Saccharomyces cerevisiae S288C: one gene and its partner. The protein of the gene in region 1 interacts with the protein of each later gene in a biochemical or structural test. Each region holds a gene or a part of one and is shown on either strand. Other genes may lie near its edges. The genes, in order: MED4 and SSN2.

Region 1 (3,686 bases):
ATAACAGCGAAAACGCTTCGCATAACAATGAAACTGGGCCAATTGAGACTGAACTGGCACAGACAATATCCAACGAATTTTGGACGGCGTACAACCTTGGCTGGGAGGAACTAATGAGTCAGCCAGATTATAAATATTTATTTGATACGCAGTAGAGGAGAAGTTCTTTTACAAAAAAACATGCTTGCGACAGCAGCTAGATAGAAAACTTGCATATTGTAATGGAAGACAGTCGAGAGCAAGCCATTGGCTTGGACTTGCGCTTGGACCTATCTTTCGGACCAACTATTTAATGATTAGTAAGACAAAAATGACATTTAAGCATCTATAAAATAAGAAAAATAAAAAAATGAAGGGAAAAAGCTAAACACTAACTTCTTGACCAAACAAACAAGGAAAAGCCAGTAATTGCGTGAACAAAAGGCACCTGCAATTGTTCTGATGGATGTACTTTGTCCAACCTATTCTGCAAGAAAAAGAAATCAACTCCAAAGAAGTATGGAGCTTACTGGCACTCTAGCCTCCAAAAGCTGTTAAAGTGTTCATTCGATTGTCAAAAATCTTCCCCATAATAATCACCCACCTCAACAAAATACTTCCACTTAATTATTGATCGATTAGAGCTAGCGTCAGTGATTATATGCTAGTCCGAAAGGACAGCCCCATGACAGCGGCCGCGCAGACGCCTAGGGGGGAAATAAGGGGTGACAATACCAATGAGTATAAAGGCAGAAAGAAGAGAAACAGAAGCACGGGGGTTTCGTTTGGTCTTCAAATATATGTTAGGTCGGTACCTTTTCATTGCAAAATTGAAAAGATTTGAGCGTGTAAAAGTAAAAAAATACATGATGGGTTCCCAAGATTTAGCTAGTTTAATTGGGAGGTTTAAATACGTCAGGGTGTTAGATTCGAACCCTCATACAAAGGTAATCTCACTACTAGGCAGCATAGATGGGAAGGATGCCGTGTTAACTGCTGAAAAGACGCATTTCATATTTGATGAAACGGTACGTAGACCCTCTCAAAGTGGCCGTAGCACTCCGATTTTCTTTCATCGTGAAATAGACGAGTACTCCTTTTTAAACGGTATTACTGATCTGAAGGAATTAACTTCGAATGACATCTACTACTGGGGGTTGTCTGTTTTGAAGCAGCATATTTTGCATAACCCAACTGCGAAGGTTAACTTAATTTGGCCCGCCTCGCAGTTCCACATCAAGGGATACGACCAGCAGGATTTACATGTCGTCAGAGAAACTCCTGATATGTATAGAAACATAGTTGTGCCCTTTATCCAAGAGATGTGTACCAGCGAAAGAATGAAATGGGTAAACAACATTCTTTACGAGGGCGCCGAGGATGATAGAGTTGTTTATAAGGAATACAGTAGCAGGAATAAAGAGGATGGATTCGTCATCTTGCCCGATATGAAGTGGGACGGAATCAACATTGATTCGTTATACCTGGTCGCGATCGTGTACAGGGACGACATCAAATCTTTGAGAGATTTGAACCCAAACCATAGAGATTGGTTAATTAGACTCAATAAGAAGATTAAGACCATCATCCCCCAGCACTATGACTATAATGTAAACCCGGACGAGCTAAGAGTTTTCATTCATTATCAACCTTCATATTACCATTTTCATGTCCATATAGTGAATATAAGGCATCCAGGAGTAGGCGAGGAGAGAGGCTCCGGAATGACAATACTGTTGGAAGATGTTATAGAAGCGTTGGGTTTCTTAGGTCCTGAAGGTTATATGAAGAAGACGCTTACTTATGTCATTGGTGAAAATCATGATTTATGGAAAAAGGGCTTTAAGGAAGAAGTTGAAAAGCAACTGAAGCATGATGGTATCGCAACCAGTCCTGAAAAAGGCTCTGGGTTCAATACCAATTTGGGTTGAAGGTAGAAGAGCAGCACTATTTTTTCATGTGCTGAACTTCAGGAAGCGCCGGCTTATATAAATGTCTTATTTAAATGTTTGTGTATACATCTCAATGGATTTTGAATTTTAACATAGAATGCGAATGCACAGTAACATAGTACATTCAGTTGCTATTTTCCGTATAAGCTTTCTTTCCCTTATAGCATACATAGCCTTTGACGTATTGCCAGCCTTTTCAAAGAAATGCGAAAAAATAGTGCATTACCACCTACGTAAGGTAGGCTGGAGAAAAAGATAAACTTTTGCATTCTCTGCTCACCATACCGCGAAGGAAAGTAGTTATAACGTGTCCCGTTTTCAACAAGGTTTTCTGGTATATTGTTAACGGTGGAGAAAGCATCTAGTATCAATTACTTCCAGAGTACACACAACGAATGTTATGTCTGTCCAAGATACTAAAGCGGTAGAGTTTTCTATGGGTCACATCAGATCATCCTCTGTATCCCTGGTAGCAGAGGCTACTTCAAACACGAATAGTGAAGACAAATTATCTAAGGTCCAACTCTACGAAGATTTGTGCCGGTACGAGGATACATTGAGTAAGTTGGTGGAATCTGTAGATCGTTTCAAACCAAACCTTGATATTGCCAAGGATTTGATCAGAACTGATGAGGCCTTGTTTGAAAACGTCAAACTGTTAGCTGAATATGACAATATCTACCGCAACTTACAGAAGATTGACAAAGACTCTGAAGAACTAGATTCTAAAACCAGGAAGATATTGGAAATTCTAAATGAATGTCATGACGAGTTAAAAGCACTACCGATGCTTGAACAAGTAGAGTTCGAGAAAAACACAATTTTACAGCAAAGATCGAAAATCAATTCGACAGAGTTGTTGGATTATGCCACCAAACTCTCCAAGTTTACCAAAATACCACCAACGTTCGACAAGGGAGCTGTGGGACCCAACAATTTTATATGGCCCGCAGAGGATGCCCTACGAAGAGGAATGCTTGCTATGGCCTCATTACATAGTAAAGAGCTAACTAGAATACCCGGTGAAGAAGTAGAAGAAACAGAAGTACCGACCGTACCGCCATCTCAAAGTGAAGAACAAAAAGGGCAGATGGCCAAGAAAGAAGGTACACCAAAGACAGACTCGTTTATATTTGATGGTACTGCTAAAGAAGTTGGTGATGAGGCAGACAATACCAAAGATAAAGAAAAGGAAGAAAATAATGATGATGCCCTAGATCTTGATCTTGATCTGTTTGATCCGGACGACTTCTAGTTGCAGTGTCTTGAATCTCTTCCTCGTTAGGAATGAAGAAAAAAAAAAGTTAGACAATAATTCGTGTAGGTAAAAGCGTATATAAAATTACATATATAATTTACTGCAATATGTCAAAGTGTATGAAAAACATTTGAAAGTAAGTTCCCACAGGAACTGGAAAATAAGACAACAAGACTGTGACTTCCACACGCATCTGTCGTTTTTGGCCATCTACTCTTCCTTTTTTGAAATAGGCTTTGGTGAGTAACCACTAAAACTCATTTTTCTCACACGTTCACCTGATCCACTTGCAGCGTTAGAAAATTCCTGCTTGAATCTTTCAAAAGCTTTAGAAAGGTTTTCCTCTTCTATTTCAAGACCATTTTTATTTCTCCATTCTTTGTAATCTTTGCAGAAATCTTCCCAATCTTCCTTAGCATTGTCCCACTTTTCTAACTCAATTGGTGGAATACCTAAGTTCATTTCTTCTTCTTCTGCTGTCTTTCCCTTTTCATGTT
Region 2 (3,931 bases), on another chromosome or scaffold:
TCTTTTGGCTCATTTGCATCTTCAGCCAGCTCGCTACAAACCTTGGATCCGAAATGGTGCTCAACCATGTGTTCCACAGCAACATAGCCGTATAAATTAACAAATCTTCTTCTTACTACGATATTGTTATGGGAATCAGGCTGGATCTGCACTAATACTTTTCTCCAAGTCATCGTTTCTTGCCATTCTCTAGCAATGCGCTCTTGAATCCTGTTGACACTCTCATTAGGATATATAAGCTTCTTAACGATAGGCCTATTCTCATAATGCGGCGGAGGTAATTCTTCCGGGTGATAAAGTTTATCATGAATGACTTCATCTTTCCTTACAGCCGGGTTTTTGATATACTCCTGATCTGGTATGGCAGCTGTCAATACCGATAATGCAGACAATACAGTATTGGCTTCTTTTGGAGGTTCGAACTTTTGACCATCAAGAAATACTCCTTGTTCATTATCCGAATCTGAGTTGGCTTCATTAGTTTGTCCTCTCTTATATTTATTTATTTTACTTCCGTGGATAACGGCCTGAGGTAAAGTCCACTGCAACGTCGCTTTTTTGTTTGGACTTTCTGCAGGAATCTCCCCGACGTTGTTACCATTTTCGTTTGAAGGTGATGATGCTCCACTACTCTCTGGGCTATCGGAGGACACAAACTCGCTTGAAGTTGGAGAGTTCTTATTTTTTTTCCTAATTTTCTGGACTTTGTGTATGCTTCGCCAATCCAGATACAAAAGTGCAGCAGTTCGTAATGGAACAATACCATCATCCATGACATTGGCATATATCGTTCTCCTCTTAAAAGACTCAAATACTTTTTTAGCCGGCGCCTGTGGAAGAATTTCTAATATGTACTTGGAATGTTCTGGGTACACTTCATCGTCTGCATACAACCCATCTTTGGACGTTAACGGTGTATATTTTAAATTCAAGTCCCTTCCTGTCAAACCAAGCGCGCCCATATCCAGTGGAACAGACAAATAAAAGGGGAAGTCGCCAATAACACCGATGAAAGGACTAGCTAACGTAATAAAATTAACGGGTTTAACACCTTTAACTGCATCAAAAAAATCTGGTCTTTTAATACTTATGTAACGCACCGCCATGGATTGAGTTGGCCCTCCTAGGGAATGGCCAATGAATGATATCCTGTCTACTTTGTACTTTTTATTCAACTTATCAACAGTCTCAAGCACATACTTTCCAACTCTAACGCCCAAGCAATGTATACCGTGACCTGATTTCCCGACGTTGCCCATAAAACCTCGAACAATTATATTCGGATTAATAGACTCATCCATAGGAAACGTCATTTCTTCAATTTTATCTTTCATATATAGCATATCACACCCGATATTAGAAAATATACCATGTGTCATAATAACGAGATGTACAGGCTTTTCTGGAAATTTTGGTGGTAAATCCCAAAGGGTTTCAGTATCCCACATCTCTAAAGAGACACCTTCAATACTCTTAAAGAGCCCATTCGATTTCTTGACCACCTTCCTTGTAGTCCCTATCCTAAACGAAAATTCCAGCTTCGGAATTGTGGTTACCGCCAACTGCGAAATTATATCTATTGTCCATGAATAAAGAGAAGTGTCGCCAACTCTAGAATTCTCATTCAATAATATTTTTACTTTAAATCTTTCGTCCGGCTTTAGATTTTCAACAAATGGAATAATTTCCTTCCCTGGAAACTTGCGATTCTCATTATAGTTATGCGGCCTAACATCGATGTAAAAAGAATATGGCCCCGTCAAATAAAGCGGTCGCAGAAGCGCGCTTTCCTCGTTCTTGATCCTCAAGAATAGATGCGATACATCTAGCCCTTGTTCCTTAATTACATCTTTGTTCACGGAAAACTTGTAGCGATATAACTCACCTATTCTTAATCTCTTCCGCTCATCAACCAATAAGGTACCTCCGGTTTCATTTATCTCGAGCGAATTTTTCATTCGGTTGATTTTGTAAGGCATTAAGGGATCGAACCAAAATGGAGCAATTCTTTTATAATAAGAAGATGAATAACAGCCGAGTAAGTGATTCTCCTCCGCATTTCCTGCTGTTCATTGTTTTATCATACTGAATAAACAATCCTTAGAAAATAGCATCGATATATTCGCGCTTAACAAAGCGAAGAATTGAAACATTTTTTCAGGTGGAGGGACCGGGTAGTGCCGGATCAAGTAGTGTAGTATTTATTGTAGTACACTCTTACAACAACCCTTTAAGACGAATGGTGTGAAATCGGAAATTACTTTGTTGAAGTAAGGTGTAACTATATTTTAAGAACGTTTAAGCTGGATATCAAGATCTGAGGAGGTAGTATGAGTTCTGACGCTTCCACGTACAGACTTGAGGATGTTTTATCCAGCTTCTATAGAGTGGAGAAAATCAAAAAGATCAACTATCATCAGTACATTTCTAAAGCCCAAAACGATCAATGGTCTATCCAAATGGAATTCATGCTACGGAAGCAGGATCCAAAGACTCTAGTTGCGCTGCTTTCAAGGGATTTATGGTGTTTCAGTATAAATGATGATCCGGTACCGACACCTCCTGCGATAGAACATAAACCAGTGAGCCCAGATAAAATCGGAACTTTCACTGCCGATTATTCAAAGCCAAACTTACCGCCACACTATGCTCTTTTTTTAAAAGCTTTAAGAAGGAAAATTTACATTAATTTGGCATTAGGTTCACACAATAAGCTAATACAATTTGGGAATGCCTGCATATCATTAAGCGGAGTGCCAAATTATCTCGTACAGCTAGAACCACACCTTTTTGTAAACGGAGATCTCACAGTGTCGTTATGTGCCAAGAACATGGGATTAGTACCAATGAAGGAGGAAAATTTGGAAGAATCTTTCCTTTCAAAGCATGCGCTTTATTTAGCACCATCTGGAATAAGGATGCATTTGGCCCCTGCTTCCAAGCAAGGATACTTGATAACGCCACCAAAACATACAGAACTTCTCTTGACGACGTTAAGTGTATCTCATGGTATAAACTTACAAAATAAAAAAAATTTGAAATGGGTTGCTGTTGTTCCTGACTTAGGACATCTCAACGGCCACACACCTACTATAGCTTCGTATTTAACTCCCTTACTTGAAGCAAAGAAGCTAGTATGGCCGCTGCATTTAATCTTCGCCCAACCAGTAGCTGATATAGAAAATTCTACTTCCGGAGATCCATCAGAATTTCACTGTTTGCAAGATGCTCTGGATGCCATTGATGATTTCATACAATTAAAGCAAACAGCTGCCTATAGGACTCCAGGAAGTTCCGGCGTATTGAGCAGTAATATTGCTGGTACAAATCCCTTAAGCTCAGATGGAGCATATACAGAACAGTTTCAACATTATAAGAACAACTCAATTAGTTCTCAACCCGCTTCTTATCATTCTGTCCAAGAAACTAATAAGATATCTCCGAAAGATTTCTCCCCTAATTTCACAGGCATTGATAAATTAATGCTGTCGCCCAGCGATCAATTTGCTCCAGCTTTCTTAAATACCCCTAATAATAACATCAATGAGAATGAATTATTTAATGATAGGAAACAAACTACAGTATCAAATGACTTAGAGAACAGCCCACTGAAAACGGAACTGGAGGCAAATGGTAGATCACTCGAAAAGGTAAATAATTCCGTGAGCAAGACAGGAAGCGTAGACACACTTCATAATAAAGAGGGAACACTGGAACAACGAGAACAGAACGAAAATCTGCCAAGTGATAAAAGTGACTCTATGGTAGACAAGGAATTGTTTGGTGAGGATGAGGATGAGGATTTATTTGGCGATAGCAATAAATCGAATTCTACAAACGAATCGAACAAAAGTATATCGGACGAAATTACCGAGGATATGTTCGAAATGTCTGATGAAGAAGAAAATAATAACAATAAAAGCATTAATAA

Evidence for each region.
Region 2: the proteins of MED4 (region 1) and SSN2 form a complex in vitro, tested with the Saccharomyces cerevisiae proteins (one study listed by BioGRID).

What each region holds. Positions count from the first base shown.
Region 1 is NC_001147.6:656,416-660,101, forward strand, and holds MED4 (Med4p), read left to right. Parts: upstream 1-2,331; coding exon 2,332-3,186; downstream 3,187-3,686. Other genes in the region: YRM1 (Yrm1p), read left to right, coding at 1-155; DCS2 (5'-(N(7)-methyl 5'-triphosphoguanosine)-(mRNA) diphosphatase), read left to right, coding at 849-1,910; ALE1 (lysophospholipid acyltransferase), read right to left, coding at 3,400-3,686. UniProt on the Saccharomyces cerevisiae protein: Component of the Mediator complex, a coactivator involved in the regulated transcription of nearly all RNA polymerase II-dependent genes.
Region 2 is NC_001136.10:1,348,338-1,352,268, reverse strand, and holds the start of SSN2 (Ssn2p), read left to right. Parts: upstream 1-2,330; coding exon 2,331-3,931. Other genes in the region: YDR444W (putative hydrolase), read right to left, coding at 1-1,979. UniProt on the Saccharomyces cerevisiae protein: Component of the SRB8-11 complex. The SRB8-11 complex is a regulatory module of the Mediator complex which is itself involved in regulation of basal and activated RNA polymerase II-dependent transcription.